Linked DNA regions of Elephas maximus indicus. The protein of the gene in region 1 purifies or fractionates together with the protein of each later gene. This does not show direct contact. Links are inferred from orthologs where the notes say so. Each region holds a gene or a part of one and is shown in the gene's direction. Other genes may lie near its edges.

The links.
Region 2: the proteins of USP33 (region 1) and ROBO1 purify together in Homo sapiens (affinity purification with western blotting; 5 studies listed by BioGRID and IntAct, with this or other methods). This does not show direct contact. The link is inferred for Elephas maximus indicus from reciprocal best matches to the Homo sapiens genes USP33 and ROBO1.

The regions. Positions count from the first base shown.
Region 1 is NC_064821.1:125,660,428-125,671,669, reverse strand, and holds the start of USP33 (ubiquitin carboxyl-terminal hydrolase 33), read left to right. Parts: upstream 1-6,614; 5' UTR 6,615-6,837; intron 6,838-11,242. UniProt on the Homo sapiens protein: Deubiquitinating enzyme involved in various processes such as centrosome duplication, cellular migration and beta-2 adrenergic receptor/ADRB2 recycling.
Region 2 is NC_064836.1:51,769,220-51,780,085, reverse strand, and holds the start of ROBO1 (roundabout homolog 1), read left to right. Parts: upstream 1-6,125; 5' UTR 6,126-6,353; intron 6,354-10,866. UniProt on the Homo sapiens protein: Receptor for SLIT1 and SLIT2 that mediates cellular responses to molecular guidance cues in cellular migration, including axonal navigation at the ventral midline of the neural tube and projection of axons to different regions during neuronal development.

The DNA.
Region 1 (11,242 bases):
TCAGGAAGCTGGACTATATGAAGAAGAACGAGGCATCAGTATTGGTGGAAGAATCATTAACAACCTGTGTTATGCAGGTGAAACAACCTTGCTTGCTGAAAGTGAAAAGGACTTGAAGCACTTAGTGATAAAAATCAAAGACTACAGCCTTCAGTATGGATCACACCTCAACATAAAGAAAACAAAAATCCTTACAACTGGACCAACAAACATAAATAGAAAAAAGGCTGAAGTTGTCAAGGATTTCATATTACACAATCAACACCCATGGAAGTAGTCAAGAAACCAAATGACATATTGCATTAGGCGAACCTACTGCAAAAGACCTCTTTAAAGTGTTGAAAAGCAAATATGTCACTTTGAGGACTAAGGTGCACCTGTCCCAGGTCATATCGCCTCATACGTATGCAAAAGCTGGACAATGAATATGACAGACCGCGGAAGAATTGATGTTTTTGAATTACGGTCTTGGTAAAGAATATGGATGATGCCATGGACTGCCAGAAGAGCAAACAAGTCTGTATCAGAAGAAATACACCCAGAGCACTCCTTGGAAGTGAGATCTCACATACTTTGAACATATTATCAGGAGGGACCAGTCCTTGGAGAGGGACATCATGTTTGGTAAGACAGAGAGTCAGTGGAAAAAAAGGAAGTCCCTGGACGAGATGGATTGACTACAGTGGCTGCAACAACGGGTTCAAACCTAACAGCTATTATGAGGATGCTGCAGTGTTCCATTCTGTTGTACACAGGGTCGCCATGAGTTGGAACTCACTTGATAGCACCTAAACAACAATAGTAAAGGCCTAGATTGCTTTAAAGAGTCTGTTGGTATAATTACGGACGTCAAAAGCAATTCCAGTGATAGCTCAGAAGGAACTGAGGAGAGTTGCAGAGAAAGCCCCCATTGTCTTACGGAATACATATAGCACCAGCAACAGAATGTTGCTAGACACGTGGATGTTAACGTGCTTCAGGTGAGTCTATAAAAGAAAATGACGAACATGGGATTGGACAACGGAAGAAGAGTGATGCTTCTCATGTAATGGCAAAGAATTTGTCTGAATTATGTTCAAATGTTTGGAGGAAGGTAGAAGTTGTAAGTGATGAACTTGGATATTTGGTTAAGGAGATTTCTAAGCAAGGTCTTAAAGGAACCGCATGGGTTGTCCTTGCTTCTTATAGTAAAGTGTGAAAGGAAAGAGACTTAAAACTGAACTGTGCAAAATGAAAACAGAATTTAAAGATTTGGAGAATTCTGTTGTACAAACTAAGGACACACGTCCTAGAATGTTCACCAAGGAAAACTATAAAAGAGATTAAGCCTGTGACAGGTGTACCTAACCAACTACCACAGCAGAAAATCCATCAGCTTAGATTGAAGTGGGCAGAGAAAGAATGAAAGTAAAGAATGCTGTCAGCTTCTTGGAATTCTACAGGCAAGAAAACAGGCCAAAGGAGCTGTCTGTTGTCCTCCAAGAAAGGAAAGGACCATCCCTGAAGCAGTTGGAGAGCAGCAGAACTGTTAGAAGGAGCACAGGAAGCAGGGTCTTCTCAGTTTTTAAGGGTGGATTGAACTCTGTTTCCTCAAAATATGTGTTGCAATTCCTAACCTCTTTTTTTTTTTTTTTTTTTATGAGCGTGGTTATAATCGCATTTGGGAATGGGTTGTCTTTGTCAACCCACGTCAGTATGTTAACGAGGTTAATGAGGTCGGTATGTTAATGAGGAAGGATTAATGTAGGGTGAACCTCGAGTCAATCTCTTTCGAGATATAAAAGATATTAAATGCAAGCTAGTAAGCATAAATGGAGGAAAAGAGATTCCAAGCCACATGAACATTGCCCCAGAATAGACGCTCAGAAGAGACGAGGACCTTCTCCATGGCCAATAGAGAGAGAAATTCTTCCCCTAGAGCTGGCGCTCCGACTTTGGACTTCTAGCCTCTTAAATGGTGACAAAATAATTTTCTGTTTGTTAAAGTCACCTATTTATGATATTTCTGTTATAGAAACACCAGATAATTAAGACAAATGGTTGATGCCAAGAAAAATTTCAGAGTTTTCAGTGACTTAAAAGGTGCACATGCAGCCTCGAAGGTGATTGTGATGAAGAATTTGTTGTGAGCAGAGGCTGGTTCAATGGTTTTCAAAGTGAGGGCAAATTTACATTACATTAAAGGGCAAGTCCGAGTTGTCCTTAAGTCAGAAGTCCCTAACTCAGGGACTGCCTATATATTCAACATTTTTCACCAACACCATAATTCAAACGCATCAATTCTTCTTTGGTCTTCCTTACTCCTTGTACAGCTTTCCCACGCATATGAAGCAACTGAAAATACCATGGCTTGGGTCAGGTGCATCTTAGTCCTTACAGTGACATCTTTGCTTTTTAACACTTTAAAGAGATTTTTTTTACAGTAAATGTGCCCAGTGCAATAAGTCATTTGATTTCTTGACTGCTGTTTCCACGGGCGTTGATTGTGGATTTAAGTAAAATAAAATTCTTGATCACGTCAATATTTTCACCGTTTATCATGATGTTGCTTATTGGTCCAGTACTGAGGAGTTTTGTTTTCATTATGTAGAAGTATAATCCATATTAAAGGCTATAGTCTTTAATCTTCATCAGTAAGTGCTTCAAGTTCTCTTTACTTTCAGCAAGCAATATTGTATCATCTACATATCTCTGGCTGTTAATAAACCTTTCTCTAATCTTGATGCTGTGTTCTTTTTCGTATAGTCCAGCTTCTCAGCATGCAGATTAAGTATGGTAAAACGATACAACCCTGACTCACACCTTTCCTGATTTTAAACCACACAGTATCCCATTGTTCTGTTGGCCTATATGCAAGTTCCCCATGAGCACAATTAAGTGTTTTGAAATTCCCATTCTTTGCAATGTTATCCATAATTTGTTATGATCCATACAGTCGAAGGCTTTGGCATAGTCAACAAAATACAAGTAAACATCTTTCTGGTATTCTCTGGTTTCAGCACAGATTCATCTGACATCAGCAATGCTTTGCCTGGTTCCTCGTCCTCTTTGAATCTGGTGTGAATTTCTGGCAGTTCCCTGTTTTGGTACTGCTGTAACTGCTTTTGAATGATCTTCAGAGAAACTTTACTTCCATGTGATAGTAATGACAGTATTCGGTAATCTCCGCATTCTGTTGTGTCACCTTCCTTTGGGACAGGTGCAAATATGGATCTCTTCCAGTCAGTTGGCCAGGTAGCTGTCTTCCAAATTTCTTAACAAAGATGAATGAGTACTTCCAGTGTTGCATTCGTTCATTGGAACTTCTCAATTGGTATTGAGTGCCTTGTTTTTTGCCAACGCCTTCAGTGCAGATTAGAACGCTTCAATATCATTGGTTCTTGATCATATGCTTGCCTCTGAAATGGTGGAATTTCAACCAGTTATTTCTGGTACAGTGGCTCTGGGTATTCCTTCCGTCTTTTTTTCTAATTTATTTATTGTGCTTTAAGTGAAAGTTTACAAATCAAGTCAGTTTCTCATACAAAAACTCATGCATACCTTGCTATGCACTCCTAGTTGCTCTCCCTGTAATGAAACAGCACACTCCTCTCTACTCTGTATTCCCCATGTCCATTCAACCAGCTTTTGTCCCACTATGCCTTCTCCTGTCACCTCCAGACAAGAGTTGCCCACATAGTCTCATGTGTCTACTTGAGCCAAGAAGCTCACTTCTCACCAGTATCATTTTCTGTCTTATCGTCCACTGTCTGAAGAGTTGGCTTTGGGAATGGTTCCGGTCTTGGGCTAACAAGGGGTCCAGGAGGCCATTACCTCCGGGTTCCCTCTAGTCTCAGTCAGACCATTAAGTCTGGTCTTTTCATGAGAATTTGGAGTCTGCATCCCACTGCTTTCCTGCTTCCTCAGGGGCTCTCTGTTGTGTTCCCTGTCAGGGCAGTCATCAGTGGTAGCCAGGTACCATCTAGTTCTTCCAGTCTCAGGCTGATGTAATCTCTGGTTTATGTGACCCTTTCTGTCTCTTGGGCTCATCTTTACCTTATGTCTTTGGTGTTCTTCGTTCTCCTTTGCTCTAAATGAGTTGAGACCAATTGATGTATCTTAGATGGCCACTTGCTACAGTTAAAGACCCAAGACACCACTCACCAAAGCGGGATCCTTCCATCTTCTTTTGATGCTTCCTGTGTCGTTCAATATTTTGTCCATAGAATCCTTCAATATTGCTACTGAGGCCTGAATTTTTTCTTCCATTCTTTCAGTTGCATAAATGTCAAGTGTGTTTCTCTCTTCTGGTTTTCTAACTCCAGGTCTTTGCACATTTCATTATAATACTTTACTTTGTCTTCTTGTGGTGCCCTTTGAAATCCTCTGTACATTATTTCTTCCATTTTCTTTAGCTACTCTACATTCAAGAGTAAGTTTCAGAGTCTCTTCTGACATCCATTTTTGTCTTTTCTTTCTTTCCTGTCTTTTTAATGACCTTTGCTTTCTTCATGTATGATGTCCTTCATGTCATCCCACAATTCATCTCGTCTTAAGTCATTAGTGCTCAATGCCTCAAATCTATATTTGATATGGTCTCTAAATTCAGGTGGGATATATTCAAGGTTATACTTTGGCTCTTGTGGACTTGTTTTAATTTTCTTCAGCTTCAACTTGAACTTGCACATGAGCAATTGATGGTATGTTCTGGAGTTGGCCCCTGGCCTTGCTCTTACCGACGATATTGAGCTTTTCCCTTGTCTCTTCCCACAAATGTAGTCGATTTGATTCCTATGTATTCCATCTGGTGAGGACCATACGTATAGTCGCTGCTTATGTTGGTTCAAACAGGTATTTCCAAAGAACAGGTCATTGGTCTTGAAAAATTCTTTCATGCAAACTTCAGTGTCATTTCTATCACCAAGGCTATATTTTGCAACTTCTGATCCTCCTTCTTCGTTTCCAACTTTTGCATTGCAATTGCCAGTAATTATCACTGTATATTGATTGTATGTTGGATCAATTTCAGACTGCGGAAGTTGGTAAAAATCTCCAATTTCTTCATCTTTTGGCATTCATGTTTGGTGCATAAATTTGAACAATAGTCGTATTAACTGGTCTTCCTTGTAGGTGTATGGGTATTACCAGTGTTGTACTTCAGGTTAGATCTTGAAATGCTCTTTTTGATGATGAACATGAAGCCCCCTTCCTCTTCAGTTTGTCATTCCCAGCATAGTAGGCCATATGATTATCTGATTCAAAATGGCCAGTACCAGTCTTCTTCAGCTCACTAATGCCTAGGATATCTATTTTCAAGTGTTCCATTTCATTTTTGTAGAACTTCTAATTTTGCTAGATTCGTACTTCGTACATTCATGTTCTGATTATTAGTGGACGTTTGCAGCTGTGTTTTCTCACTTTGAGTGGTGCTACATCAGCGAGTGAAGGCCCTGAAAGCTTTACTGCATCCACATTATTAACGTCAGCTCTATTCTGAGGCAGCAACTCTTCCCCAGTCATATTTTTTTTTTTGAGTGCCTTCCAACCTGAGGGGCTCATCTTCCCACATTATAATGTTTTGGTGCTATTCATAAGATTTTCAGTGGCCAGTTTTTTAGAAGTAAATTGTCAGGTCCTTCTTCTTAGTCTGTCTTAGTTTGTAAGCTCTGCTGAAACCTGTCCATCATGGGTGGCCCTGCTGGTACATGAAATAGTGGTGGCATAGCTTACAGCATCACAGCAATACGCAAGCCACCACAGGAAGACAAACTGACAGACGCATGGTGGAAAGAGATGCTGCAGCATATATCGGGGGTGTCCTGTTGCCACAAGACACCAGGAAGGAAATTATTTTAATGATCATTCCTTTGTCTCTTTTTATCCTAAAAAAATTTAATCAGAAGCTCCATTATTTCCTACCTGTTCCTGATGGAGACTGAGCATCTGAAACAACATTTGAGTACATGATCCCCATACTGGAGACCAAAAATTTAGAGGTGATAGGACAGATTGGAACTGGTAACGTTTAACAATTGTTATTAATTTAACTGTTTTTGTTATCATTTATTAAACAAGCAATGGAATGAATCTAACAATCACATGAATTGGAAGTCAAGTCTCTCTTAATCCTCTAGGCACTGGGCAAATACTCGCGTTTCAATAAATATTTGATCTTTTTTATTTTGGCTTAGAAGAAACTGGTAGAGATGAATTCCTTCTTTGCAGATGTAAAAAGGGGGAAACACAATTGCCTCCAGAGATTCCAGGTGCTAAGAAATTGGGTTAAGAAAAAGGAGAGGAGAGTACTGAATTAACTGAAATCTAATATTTCTTTGCATAAGGTCGGAAACCTGAGGCCCTTAATGCTGGTTTGTGCAATGCACGGAAACAAGGCCTTGTAACGGCTGTAGTGTGACTGCGGAAGAGGGAGCCAAAGCGTGTAAAAGCGAAAAATGTCTAGAGTCATAAACTGCTTCGCACGTACATGCTCCCTGTACAGGCAGCTAAGCTACCTTTGAAGTACCAGCTGCAAAGGCGGCCTGAGTCTCAGCACCTGGTCCCGGCTCGTTGCCCGCAGCCCCGCCCCTGGGTCGGGCTCTCCCAGAAGCTCCGCCCCTTCCCGCCCTCCCGCGGCGCCCGAGACGCCTGCAGCGAACCGGGAGGCACCGGAAGGAGCGGCTGCTGCTGCGGGAAGTGGAGGGTTCGGGAGGTGGGGACCCCGCGGGTAGGGCTGCGGAGGCCCCGCTGGACGTGACGCCGCTCCTTTCCTAGGCTATAGAGGAAAAGAAGAGCTCGTCGGGGAGCGGCCGCAGGCCACTGTTGACTGCGCAGGCGGGGCCCGCGGGGAAGGCCGTGGAGGTGAGCGCGGCGGTGCTGGGAGGGGCGTGGGGCCGAAGGGCGTCTCGCCAGCCACCGGCGGCCGGTCTAGGTTCTTGCTCCGGAGGCTGCGGCTGGTGCCGCGGCCTCTCATTCTTAGTCCGGAGAGGCGGGGCGGTGCGGTCGGGAAGGAGGCCTGGGCTCCTCAGTGCCCTGCCTAGCAGGGTTGAGCCGGTGGCCTCCACTCCGGGGGTCAGGGCAGGACTCGAACCCGCGGTTGATTTGAGGAAGGATCTGGAGGGGACGCTTCCCTGTGAAGCATGAGGCGGGAGGGGTGAGGCGAGCCCGGGAGAGGGGCTACGCTCCCTTCCTCTGTCTCCCGTATCCGGGTCGCCAGCCTCCCTTGGTGGGCACCGGCTCCTGAAAGTCCCGCAGCGCGCCAGCTCCTTGGTTCAGTTTCGCTTTGTGGCGCAGTTGGGGTCGCCGTACCGTATGGTGCGGCCCTGTTACTCATTGTTATGAACGGGAAAGCCAGGGTGTCATTGTCCCTGGAATTTTTTCTTCCACCGATATTTGATACTGTTTCAAAGGTTACCGCTTACCGTCTGTTTATCTGCAGCTTTTGTTTGGGTCAAATTTCCATAGTGCGTGGTTTCCCAAACCTTTACTCATAGATGTTTCTTAACTCTAAAACATTCTTCATATGTATATTTTACAAGGTGCAAGTTGAGCTATTGGACGAAATTCTTCTAGGTGTTTTGCACTCAACTTAAGTATTTTTAGAGTTTATATTCTCATATAATCGCTGTTACGCCTGGAAAATTGAGCCAGTGGGGGACACCCTGGCAGGAACATAGATTCTAAATTGAGAATGAATTTTACCTCAAGGATCCCCCGGTTTCTTGCTTAGTAAATACGTGGGATTTTACAGTTCCGTAGTTTAATCAGATTATTTTTCCTTTAAGAAAAATCCGTTTTGAAAAGTGATGAGGCAGTCCAAGTTATTTCTGGTTTAGACAGAACGCTTGTATCACCTGGAAAGTCTGACCAAATTGTTGTAATAGGCTATTTGATTTAAAGCTAATATAAATATCGTCAGTGAATTCACCCTATTAATACACGTAAGGATAATAGTAGAAATCTTATTGAACGACAATACTGATTTTAAGAAAAAGGTTATAGTAATAATCTGAGAAGCTGGACTATACGAAGAGGAACATGACATCAGGATTGGAGGAATACTGACATATTGCATGTGAACCCTGGACAATGAATAAGAAAGACTGAAGAATTGATGCCTCTGAATTCTGGTGTTCACAAAGAATGTTGAATATACTATGCACTGCCAGAACAAACAAATCTGTCTTGGAAGAAGTACAGCCAGAGTACTCCTTAGAGGGGAGGATGGCGAGACTTCATTTCATGTAGTTCGGACATGTTATCAGGAGGGACCAGTCCTGGAGAAGATCATCATGATTAGTAAAGTATAGGGTCAGCAAAAATGAGGAAGGCACTCAACAAGATGGATTGACATAGTGGCTGCAACAGTGGGCAGTGGTTGTGAGGATGGTACAGGACCTGGCAGTGTTTTGTTCTGTTGTACATCGAGTCAAAACTGACTCGATGGCACCTAACAACACAACAGTAGTTACACTATCCTAGAAGCTTTCTGTTATTTCATCTACTTTGGTAGGATTGAAAAAAAGGACAGTACAAAAAATACTACAGGGATGAAATATTTGACCTCCTGCTGCTTGCAACAGGCATAGTATATTGCTTCTTATTTTTTATGTAATTTATTGCTAATTTTCTGGTTATTGAATTTTTTTTTAATTGTGCTTTTTTTTAGGTAAAAGTTTACAGAGCAAGTTAGTTTCTCATTAAACAATTAATACACATATTGTTTTGTGACATTGGTTGCCAACCCCGTGACATGTTAACCCTTTCCTCTTCTCAGCCTCGGGTTTTCCATTTTCATTCATATGGCTTTCCCGCCCTCTCTTGCCTTCTTGTCATTTCCCCTGGGCTGGTGTGCCCATTTAGTCTCATATATGTGGTTGAGCTGCATGTGTTACTGTTTGTTATATAGGCCTGTTTCATCTGTGGCTGAAGGGTGAGCCTCAGGAGTGACTTCAGTACTGAGTTAAAAGGGTGTCCAGGGGTTTCTCCAGTCTCTGTCAGACCAGTAAGTCTGGTCATTTTTTGTGAATTAGAGTTTTATTCTACATTTTTCTGTATTTTTGTTGGAAACCTTCTATTGTGATCCCTGTCAGAGCAGTTGGTAGTCGTAGCACCATCTAGTTGTGCTGGACTCAGTCTGGTGAAGGCTGTGGTAGTTGTTGCCCGTTAGTCCTTTGGACTAGTCTTTCCTTTGTGTCTTTTGTTTTTTTAATTCTCCCTTGCTTCAGATAGAGTTGGTGGTCATTGGAGTTTTTTATAACCTATCAACAAGCAAATCTTTTTTTATATAACAGCATAGTTTAATGGCTTTAGATAGTAGTAACTAGATCATTTTAAATACCTGAAATTCAGAGTTCAAGAGGTGATGATTCTTATATTTATGTATTACCATTGGAATTTTCAATGACCTTTCACATATAATCGTATTTCATTCTCACGGCAGTCATCTGAGTTAGGTATGCCAAGAAGTAAAGTCTTTCCCTCCCTGACAAAAGCCTTTGGAGACTGTGTAAGGATCAGAATTTTCTTAAATCCTGAAATAATTTTGGTGAGGCAGCCTTTGAAATAAAATGGAATGCAGATAGATTTAAGATCTTGGAGCAGTGTGAACTATAACATTTAACAGGCCCTGGACTCCTTGCAAGAAGGCGAAGTGTATAAAATGGTGAAAGATTTTTGGTGATAACTATGAAATGTCATTTATAATAAAGAAAGGAATAAATAACAGCTTTACTTCTTGAGTTTTTAAACTCTTTTCAAAAGTCTATATGTGGTTGATCTTATCAATTGATGCAGAAAAGGCATTTGACAAAGTCCAACACCCAATTATGATAAAAACTCTCACCAAAATAGGAATCGAAGGAAAATTCCTCAACATAATAAAGGGCATCTATACAAAGCCAACAGCCAACATCACTCTAAATGGAGAGAGCCTGAAAGCATTTCCCTTGAGAACGGGAACCAGACAAGGATGCACTTTATCACCGCTCTTATTCAACATTGTGCTAGAGGTCCTAGCCAGAGCAATTAGGCTAGACAAAGAAATAAAGGGCATCTGGATTGGCAAGGAGGAAGTAAAATTATCTCTATTTGCAGATGACATGATCTTATACACAGAAAACCCTAAGGAATCCTCCAGAAAACTACTGAAACTAATAGAAGAGTTTGGTAGAGTCTCAGATTATAAGATAAACATACAGAAATCACTTGGATTCCTCTACATCAACAAAAAGAACAACGAAGAGGAAATAACCAAATCAATACCATTCACAGTAGCCACCAAGAAGATAAAATACTTAGGAATAAATCTTACCAAAGATGTAAAAGACCTATACAAAGAAAACTACAAAGTACTACTACAAGAAACTAAAAAGGACCTACTTAAGTGGAAAAACATACCTTGCTCGTGGATAGGAAGACTTAACATAGTAAAAATGTCTATTCTACCAAAAGCCATCTATACATACAATGCACTTCCAATCCAAATTCCAATGTCATTTTTTAATGTGATGGGGAAACAAATCACCAACTTCATATGGAAGGGAAAGAAGCCTCGGATAAGTAAAGCATTACTGAAAAAGAAGAAGAAAGTGGGAGGCCTCACTCTACCTGATTTCAGAACCTATTATACAGCCACAGTAGTCAAAACAGCCTGGTACTGGTACAACAACAGACACAGACCAATGGAACAGAATTGAGAACCCAGATATAAATCCATCCACATATCAGCAGCTGATATTTGACAAAGGCCCAGGGTCAGTTAATTGGGGAAAAGATAGTCTTTTTAACAAATGGTGCTGGCATAACTGGATATCCATTTGCAAAAAAATGGAACAGGACCCATACCTCACACCATGCACAAAAACTAACTCCGAGTGGATCAAAGACCTAAACATAAAGACTAAAACGATAAAGATCATGGAAGAAAAAATAGGGGCAACCTTAGGAGCCCTAGTACAAGGCATAAACAGAATACAAAACATTCCCAAAAATGACGAAGAGAAACCAGATAACTGGGAGCTCCTAAAAATCAAACACCTATGCTCATCTAAAGACTTCACCAAAAGAGTAAAAAGACCACCTACAGACTGGGAGAGAATTTTCAGCTATGACATCTTCGACCAGCGCCTGATCTCTAAAATCTATATGATTCTGTCAAAACTCAACCACAAAAAGGCAAACAACCCAATCAAGAAGTGGGCAAAGGATATGAACACGCACTTCACTAAAGAAGATATTCAGGCAGCTAACAGATACATGAGAAAAT
Region 2 (10,866 bases), on another chromosome or scaffold:
GTACACCCAGAATGCTCCTTAGAAGCGAGGACAGCAAGACTTCATCTCATCTACTTTGGACCAGTCCCTGGAGAAGGACATTGCTTGGGAGGCAGAGGGTCAGTGAAAAAGAGGAAGACTCTCAACAAGATAGATTAACCCAGTGGCTACAATAATGGACGTGAGGATAACAATGATTGTAAGGATGGCGCAAGACCTGGCAGTGTTTCGTTCTGTTGTACATAAGGTCACTATGAGTGGTAACTGACTCAAGGGCACCTAACAACAACAATAAGAAGAAAACGAACTTGTTTGGCCAGAGTACTGTACTGATATTCAGACTAAAAACCATTAAAATTTGATTCTTTCTCTCTAAAGATAGTGCACAAGACCTTATTTACAAGCAGTTATTAAACTCCCTGCATAGGAAACCAAAGCTTTTTTTTTTTTTAAGACTAAACAATGTTAAAATTTATTTTCTGCAATTCCTCTCTTCTAAGGGGATGACGCTATTGTAGCTGGGGTCTTTTTTTTTTTTTTTTTTTGGCTTCTCTTTAATTAAAAATAATTTTCCCTTAATTACTATTGTGGAAAGTCTATTTTATGTTTCTAACATAGTGTCCTATAAAACAAATTTTAATCTTTACTAAATGAATGTGTGACTCTTAAGTATTAGCTTTATACAGGCAGAGGTTGGTCTAGGACAAAAGCAAAAGAGCATTGCATTTTGATTGAATTTAGCTACCTAAGAACTATGATATTAAAAGAAAATGTGACTTAAAATAATTGTTGTGCTATTATTCTTTTAGAAGCATATCTTAAAAGAAACTGAATATGCTTTTAAATATGTTAGATACTGGTTAGCAAACTTTTCCTTAGTCTAACCAGTTGTCTTGTTGGAAGGTCAAACCACTAGATCAACCATTAACTTTGGTATAACAAACATACAGCATATTGATCATATGTGTAACCTCCATTAAGCAGCAGCAGTGGTGACACGTTGTTGTTAGGTGCCATTGAGTCACTTCCGACTCACAGTGATCCTATGTACAACAGAACGAAACACTGCCCAGTCCTGCACCATCTTCACAATCCTTGTTAAGCTTAAGCCCATTGTTGTACCCATTGTGTCAATCCATCTCATTGAGGGTCTTCCTCTTTTTTGATGACCCTCTACTTTACCAAGCATGACGTCCTTCTCCAGGGAATGATCCCTCCGGACAACATGTCCAAAGAATGTGAGGCATAGTTTTGCCATCCTTGCGTCTAAGGAGCATTCTGGTTGTATTTCTTCTGAGACAGATTTGTTCGTTCTTTTGGCAGTCCATGGGTATATTCAATATTCTTCTCCAACATCACAATTGAAAGACATCAATTCTTCTTTGGTCTTCTTTATTCATCATCCGGGCTTCACATACATGGAAGGCAGTTGAAAACACCATGGCTTGGGTCAGGCCCACCTTAGTCTTCGAGGTGACATCTTTGCTTTTCAACACTTTAAAGAGGTCTTCTGCACCAGATTTGCCCAATGCAATGCATCTTTTTGATGTCTTGATTGCTGCTTCCATGGGTGTTGATTGTGTATCCAAGTAAAATGAAATTCTTGGCAACTTCAATCCTTTCCCCATTTATCATGATGTTGCTTATTGGTCCAGTTGTGAGGGTTTTTGTTTTTTTTATGTTGAGGTATAATCCATACTGAAGGCTGTGGTCTTTGATCTTCATCAATTAAGTGCTTCAAGTCCTCTTCACTTTCAGCAAGTGAGGTTGTGTCATCTGCATAACTCAGGTTGTTAGTGGGTCTTCCTTCAATCCTGATGCCTCCTTCTTCATATAGTCTAGCTTCTCTGTTTATTTGTTCAGTATACAGACTGAATAGGTATGGTGAAAGGATGCAATCTTGACACACACCTTTCCTGACTCTAAACCATGCAGTATCCCCTTGTTCTTTTCGAACGACTGCCTCTTGATCTATGCACGGTTTCCCCAGGAAACTTCTGAATCTGGCTTGAATTTCTGGCAGTTCCCTGTCAATACACTGCTGCAGCCACTTTTGAATGATCTTCAGCAAAATTTTACTTGTGTGTGATATTAATTATATTGCCCTATAAGTTCTGCATTCAGAGAGATCACTTTTCTTGGAAATAGGCATAAATATAGATTTCTTCCAGTCAGTTGGCCAGGTAGCTGTCTTCCTAATTTTTTTGACATAGACAAGTAAGCACTTCCAGTGCTGCATCCATCTGTTGATACAACAAAGTGGTGGCTTCGTTTTATATATATGCATTTGTTTGCTTTAATTCAAAAATTGACATTTTATAAGCATTTTTATGTACTTTAAAAAAAAAAAAAAAACAAGAATATGGGTCCTTTATTCTAAAACTTCTTAGGAGAACAGGTCAAAATCTTAAGAACCTAGTATTTGAATTAAAGATTGATGATTCACGCTTTTCTTAATATCAAAGGGTTATAACAGATGCCTCTCCATTTCTCATTTTTGTTGTTGTTTGTTCTTTCATCTTTTGCCAAAGCATCCCACTTCTTCATATTTATTGCCAACTTTTAACTTGCTTGCTTCACAATCCTGTTTGATACAGAGTAAAATATCCTCCTCCATACCTCCTTTCTTGCTGTTTTTTAAATTAGAATTTTAAATATTATGAGCATTCCATTCACGATTATCATCTGACTAAAGTCACCATACCATGAATTTCACATCTTTTCCAGATAGTGTCAAATTTAGTTCATCTTCTTTAAATTCCATATTTTGCCTCAAACTTATTATCTTATACAGATTAATTTCTAACTTTTGAGTTGTACTTTCTTCACTTGATTCAGCAATTCATCAAAATTGGTTGTTAAGCCACAATCTTAAATATGATCTCTTGCAAATTCCTAAACCATTCAGAGGGCATTTTAGCACTTCATTTAACAGCTTCCAAGTTAGCAAGATTGGTATAAATATTGTTGCTTACTACTGATATACTATATGTACTGGATTCTGAATTGATACAAATATTGGTATAAATATTACAAATTAGCATAAATACTGCCATTGACTTCAGATTTACTGAATTTGGAACTCTGAAAAAAAAAATTGCCTGTTTAGCCATATCCTTTGTATTATACTTCTACTTTGAAAAATATAATAATTTGTTTGTTAATTTTCTTGTTCATCTGTCAAGAATCAAACATAGGTGAGCAGATTAATAGATTAATGCCTATAGCTTTAGGATTTCCTAACTTATAAGTATTTTAACATTATTAAAGAGAATTTTTAAAATAGTTTGGAGAGTAGCTGGATGTTACTAGCGTTTATTTAATTTCCCCAAAGTGTACGTTATTACATGTTTACCTATCTAAATTTAGAAAGTAAGCTGATTACAGTAATGGCATCCTAGAATGTGTCAGGTATGTTTTGCTTTCCAACTTTTATAGATGTTCACATTAGCCACAATAAGGCACTGTCATCATGATCCAAGGACATAATGGAAATCAGTTTCTGACATAGCATATATTGTCCTTGAAAACTCCACCGACAAAATGAGAGGGCCAATAATACTTCAAATAAGAAAGAATAGATCCAGGGTATTCCTACAGACCTAGAAATCATGAAAATTATTGTGGCTTCAATATTATTATTGAAAATATATTTGCCTTAGTATTCACGAAGCAAGAAAAAATATTTTTTAATATTTGTAATCATATTTTGTCTTTGGGTAATATATGAGACTAAATTGGATAGGCATACCTATTTTATTCAAGTATATAAACAGAGTATGTTTTTTCAGAAAAAGAAAAACAAATTAAATTTAAGATTCTGTTCAGTTCCCTGTAAGTTAACAACCTGCTTTTAAGCAGAAAGTGAAAATTGATCTAGCAATATATGTTAATTGTGCTAGTAAGTCAGCTTCGGTTTAACTATTTTCTTTTGTTCATTATCACAACTTGCCCATCTATTCAGCTTCCATATTAAATTATAGTCATAGATAAACTGTGTTAATTTTGTATATATCTGCCTGGATAAAATATATCTTTTCTTAGTTCCAAAAATATATTCATCAAATGCACAACTTTCAACTTACACTTAGACTCCTAATGATTATTTTTTCAAGTCCACTTGTAACAGAAATTTGAAAGACCAATAAGGAGAATACTTCTTTTTCCTTCTAAGTGGATATGAATTATCTCCATTCAACTTTGCATGACCATTACGCTTTACTTACTTACTATAAAAAAAACCAACTATTAAATGATTTCTCTTTTCTTGCACAGAAAATATACTGTCTTACACTCAATATAGCAATATACTGATATTTTTATGTTAACTTTATTGGCTAATTGAAAAATTCTTAACCTGGGCTGAAGAGATTGTAATACTACTAAATAAAAGTCAATCCAGAACCTCTACGGGAAAAACAATGGCAATGGGGAAATGAAGCAAATAAATCCATATGGTAATCCGAAATCATCATGTCTTTTCACTCTGAATTAGTGACCATGGATGTTTCAAAAGTATGTGTTTGGTGGAAACTTTGCAAATATACAGGAGAACGCTGGATTTTCCAATCCCTGGAAGAAAATCTTTTTTTACACTCCAGTCGTGTAAGAGTTAATTCTGTTTCCCACCAGATGCAATCTGTAAGTTAGGTCTGGAAGGCAGCAAAGGCAACCTGGACTTGAAGTAACACTTCTGTTGTCAAGGGTTACTGATGGGGGAAGGGAAGGGGTTGGAAGGCGTTGGAAAGGGAAGGAGTTATGGAAATGAAGAAGGATCGTAGCACACACGACATAAATTCAAATGCTCTAGATGTATTTGAAATAAGATCTCAATTCTCTTGTGTTTTTGCATTTTGCATTTCATTTATTTAGTGTACACATGGCTGGCGAATTTCAGGGTTGGTTGTTGTTGACCTTATTTAGTGTATCACTTTCCAACAGCGTTCGGATGTAAATTATCAGCATAGTAATTTTGCAATTAAATTTGAATTTACCATTAAGACTTAATCTAAAATACAATACAATTATGCTGTAATATATAGTATACAATAAAGTTATGCTCTAATATCAACAAATATCTTAGGTGAACTTGGTGTACAGTCTGCGTCATTTCTGTTTACACTAGGGCTTCTCTTTTCCTCCAGAAAATTAAAGGTCTGGGGAAACAGCATGCTTAAGGGCTTTAAATTCATATCTATTAAGATTCAGTTATTATTATAAATTTTTAAAATAAAAAATTTTAAAATAGGTACCTTTAATAATGATGTACTGAAATGTTGCTTCTTTTTTTTTTTTGCATGTTCCAGTATTTCAAATTGCCAGTCACCACAAGCCTGCCTCACTTTAAATCTCCTTCTGCCAATTTGCATTAGTAATGGACTTGCTAAGAGAGAAACTGTAAAAAGGAAATGTGCCAATTAATAGGAAATACTTGACATACTGTGACATTATCAGTATATTTGATGAGACATTGCCAGTATATTTGATGATTTGTTTTTACACCTCAATATTCACAAATATTTCTGAATTTCTTATTTTGCAGAGTAGAAATGGGCGTCCATGCCATTGTCACTGATGGCATTTTTAGTAGGATTTTATTAACACAGCCCGTATTTTACAATCTATACACTCATATTTTAGCTGCTGTCATTTCATTAAGTTGTTCTATTTGGAGTAGCCATGCAAAAAATAAAATTAAGAGCTATTTTACTTAGAGAAGAGAAAAAGTATTTGTCTATAATACAAAGTAAAAACAGGTTTGTTTGTTTTTTTTTGCCAAAAGTATGTGTGAATTTTCTTCAGAAGTGTGCTTTTAAAATCCTTTGTATTTGCAAAGCCACTCCACACAGACAATTACAAGCAGATATGAAATGATAGATCATATGGCAGGAGTTTAAATATGAGGGGTTTTTTTTTTCCCCCTCTCGGTTAAGTTAAACATCGCAGCAGGCATTACAATACCAGAGGTAACGAATCAATTAAATCCATTTTCCCCTCCGCGTCCCCAACGCTGCGTGCGTAGTGTTGCTGTGTAGTTCAGAGCCTGAGCGGTAGGACCCAGGGGCCTCCGCAGCCACCAATAGAATCGCGCACTTGGACCTATTTGTATGCAATGCCGTCTGCTGTGCGCATTAATAGTAATACAGATAACGGGTTTGAAAGAATTCTCTACCGGAGGATTGGATTTTTCCAGGGTGCTGATACTGGGAAGTAATCCGACTTCGCTGTCTTCCTATTGCCCCCTCTTACGTTTTAAAGTCTCGGACAGCTTTTGCTTGGCTTAAACTCGGAAAGGTTTCCGTGCACAGCAAAGTTGGAAGGCTGCGCCGGTACCACCGAGCCGCTACGTTCCTGAAAACGGTCTGAATCGAAAGGTAAGTCTCTCAAGTGACTGTAAGCGAAGTGATAGCCGGCTTTAGAATTGTCGAAAGGGACACACTCGGTTTTACGTTAGTGGGTCCTGGAGTGCAGAATGGGTGCGGGAAAGACCGCAGTTTGTCCAGGAATTGTGCCTGGTGCAACGGGGATATTTGGAGGGTAGAATCAAAAGCCTTCCGGTTAAATGGGAAATTGCAGCTTTACGCTCTGACCAGATTCAACAAGTTTCCCTGCAGGGATGCGATGTTTGTTTATTTTCTTGCAAGTTGTGCAGAGTGTCTGTTCCCGGTGGGCTGAGCCTGCTTTAACAAAGAAGTTTCGGGATTTGGGTCTGGTGCGTGAGTGGTTTAATCCTTGTTTAAGGAGGTTTTGTGTTGCATTTGGGCTTCCTGGTTAAAGTGTTCGGCTGCTAATCGAAAGGTCGGCGGTTCGAAACCACCAGCAGCTCTGCGGGTGAAAGATGTGACAGATGTGGCTGTCTGCTTCCGTGTATAAGAAAAAGAAAAAAAAAATTTTTTTTTTCCTTGGAAACCAAATGGGTCACTTCCCCTACAGCCACGAGTAGGAATGGGCTCCACAGCAGTGTTTTATTATTATTATTATTATCATTATTATTATTATTATTTTGGAAGGAGGGGGAGGCACAGAAGGAAACTGCTTCTTGGAATGCTCCCAGCATCAGCAGCCTGCTGGGTTGGGGCTGGGCAACTTTGCAGCACAATCTCGATGTCTCTGACCGCACCGTGGTTGGTGGTGTGAGCTGAGCCTCGGAAACCAGCAGGCTCCAAGGCTAGCAGAGCTCCCAAACTTTGAAAGCGTTCTCCAAGGAGGATGAGAGTGGTGGCTTTTAAAACGATCATTACTGGGTGACTTTTGCTGAACTCTTAGTGTTGGGTAAGCAAGGAGGTTTTTGAAGACCTGCGTTCCAACCTGCAGCTTTTTTGCGTGGAAAACGCAGTGCTGATCCCGAGAAGGTGGGGGCTTGAAACTATGCCAGAAGGGACTTTGTCTGAGGGAGGAAAGGAGAGAGGAGAAAGATGAATGAGCGCGTTGCGTCCCATCTTTCACACACAAAAACCACACGCGTGGGACGTGCCAGAAAGCGCTCCAGTTGGTGGCGTTTAGCTGGAAAACGTATTGCAGGGAGGTCCAGGAGCCTCTGCATTATTGATGAAGCTCTGTGCCCTTCTAGGGGCTCTTCTCGCTGCTCCTCCTTTGCGCCGGGCCCCCGCCCGCGTCCCGCTGAGGTTGAGAGGCTGGCGCGGGTGCGGCGGCGGCGCGGCTCACCCCGCAGCGCTGCAGACACAATGGGGGAGCGGCAGGCAGAGCCCTGCGGGCGGGTGGCGCGGGGAGGTCACCGCTGCAATCCCGCTGCCGCAGCCCGCCTGTCGCTCCGCCGCAGGCTGCAGTGCTGCCGGAGCCGCTTCCTTCCGGCGGCCCGGCTCTCTGAGAGCCGGGCCCCGCGCAGGAGACACACACCTGGCCGCAAAGGTCCGGGGTTACCTTCCAGGGGCCACAGTGTGGCAGGCAGACAGGTGGAGTGGAGGAGACGGGACGTTAAGACTTCCCACTCCAGCTTCTGGTAAAAGCTACGACCTCTACACGAATATACCCCAGGCTGCGCTCCAGGCTTCCAAGAGGAGCTGCACCCCAAAGGAGAAAGGGGGCGTAGAGGAAAGAAGAAAAACGCTAATGAGGCTGCAGGAAGAGAGAGGAAGCAAGCGATCTGGGGCAATTTTGTTCATCAGTCTGGCTGGTCCTGGCTCTTTTAAGTAGGGTGTTTGCGATGGGGTTTTGAAATGCGGTCCCCCGCCTCTCTGCAGCACTAAAGGCGCAGCCTTCCAGAGGCAGGAGCTCACTAGAGACTCTTTCTAAAGATGAAGGAAGGAGATGGGCAGGAGACTGCTTTTTGCAGTGTCGTTTAACCCTGACCTCAGCACCTCCCACCCTTTGACGCCCCCACCAGGGAGTGCCCTGACCTTGCAAACTGCTCTATGTCACCTGCTCCGTTCTTTAAACGGTTTTAACAGGCTGTGTGTTACAAGGGCTGCTGTGAGATAGTTTGTGTGTTCCCAAGTGGAAGTAGAAGATGGTCTCATTTGGAGGTTGAGCGCCAACCCCGTTGGGTTTGGGGAGGGAGAGGGATCTCGGTTTCTTGAGGGGGTACTCTTAGAGAAAATACACTCTTTTGAGCACACGGGGAATGAACAGTGTCATTATGTTCTTCTCCCACTTTCTCTTGGCCCCTTTTGTTGTGTTCCTCTGGGAACTAGGATGTGATATCAAGCAGTAATATTTTGGGAATCGACCCACTTACTAGGAAGCCAACTAGAAGTCTTTAAGTGGGCTTTCAGGGCCACATTTGGATGCTCCTGAGATCTATCATTCTGGGAGACTCAGTTTACCATCCCAAGACCTGTGTCTCCTCTGTATTTGGGGGAGGCACAAGTAGTCTGAATGTTTTTGAAAAGCCTTCTGGGAGGAATGCAGCACATTGATTTTGCTACAGATGAATATGGAAGATGCAGGGTTGCTGGGTGTTCCTCTGTGTCCCCCACCACCACCACCACCAAAAAAAAAAAAAAAAACAGAAACCCAGACCAAACTTCCAGTTGGTAAAGGGCAGTCTTTGTTTCTTAGGACTCTTTCCCCTCCCATGGGGGTTGGGGTGGGTGGTGGGTGTGAGGACTGTGCAAAGACCAAGACAGAGTGTGTATGGAGCAAGGAAATTCACCTCATACTGTTGCCATGGATTTTGGACTTCCTTTAACCTTTCACCACACATCTTCCTGCTCCATGTGTCTTCCAATTTAGCCCTGTACAATCAGCAGAATTGAAGCGCAGTGACACAGCTGCAGAGCCCTGATGGAGGCTTACTCAAGAGAACAGCTGTTAATCACATGTTTGCTGTATTTTCCCACTTACTTCCTTTTCCTTCCGTTTCCTTCCCCTGTCCTTGAACAGTGTTACCATCTTCCAGGCTGCATTCAGTGAAGGCTTAGTGATTTCCAGTGATATAGCTCTATGCTGAGTGTGGGCGGAGGGCAGAGATTCAACAGCTGCTTAGGGAGTTCCATAGATTTAAAGCTGACGTTCCCTTATCCTATACTGCACAAAATAAAGAGTAAATATCCTAATCTCTCCCTAAAGAAAATTATGTGGGTTCTGTATAATAGTCTTTTATAGCATAGCAGAATCAATTCAAATGTAAAATAACATCGATCAGAGCTGAAAGGGATGCTGTACACTTTGAAAACTGGTGGTGTACTTGGCTAACAAAAGCTCACATTTGGTGGTGCATTCGTGAAGAACTCAGCTGCTAACCAAAAGATTGGCAGTTCAAATTCACCAGCCACTCCTCAGAAACCCTGTGGGGCAGTTCTAGTCTACCCTATAGGAACTATGAGTTGGAACTGACTGGATAACAATGGGTTTGGGTATTTTTGTTTTGTTTTGTTGTTTTATAACATGATACATTAATAACATGAGATACTTTTATTTAAGCAACACTTAATGTAAGTTACTGTCATTGTGAAGCTGAGCAACTCAAGGCACTGCAAAGAGGTGAGTTTTAAAGGAAAAAAAGGCAAAACAGTGAATAAGCCCTTGGCAGTTTGATGAATGAGCAGGTGCAATGCACCATTTGAAATGTAACTTGAAGTGAGGTTCCATCTAATTCACTGGAGAACGGGCTGCTCTTTATCACCTAGAAAACTCAACTGATTTTTCTCTCTGAGACCTGCAAGTTCAGATACAAAAACATAATAGCATACAGTAGGCTAAAATTATGAACTGGTCATTATCTCTCTGAACCTACTGTTGAAGTGAGCAGTCTTATTGATGCATTTATGTTTGTATCTAAAATGATATGATACCAGGCAGATCTCCGAATTCCACAGAAATATAGACCCTAGAAAAGTAACTGACTTATCCAAGGTCGTATAAGAGAGAGCTGTAGACATAGTGTTAGGCACCTTACCTCTGACAGATATTTTCACTTAGTCTTCACATCACCTTTTGAAGTAGGCTTTATTAGACTTCATTTACATATGAAGGAATTGAAGCTCAGAGAGGTTAAGTAAAAAGTACAAAGTAAAACAGCAAATAAGAGGAAGAGCCAGGATTGAGATACCAGTTTTTCCTCATGACAGAGTCTATCTTTTTCCAGTGTGTCATGCTTCTTTTAAGTGAACCAATGTTTGCAGATCACTGTACTTAGTATTTTCTGTAAATAAAACATTTCATTATTCTTTGAATTTTACATCAGCACTCATAATTTTCCAATCTGCCAGATCTCCTTTTCGTATACAAAACTTTTTTTTTTTTGGCACCTATCCCTGACCAATCTTCTACAAATAGTGACTTTCCAAAAATCCCATGGCCAGGGAATAACTTTATTGTTGTTGTTAGGTACCATTGAGTGGGTTCTGACCCATATCGACCCTGTGTACAACAGAAGGAAACACTGCCCTGTCCTGCCACATCATCACAATTGTTGCTGTTTGAGCC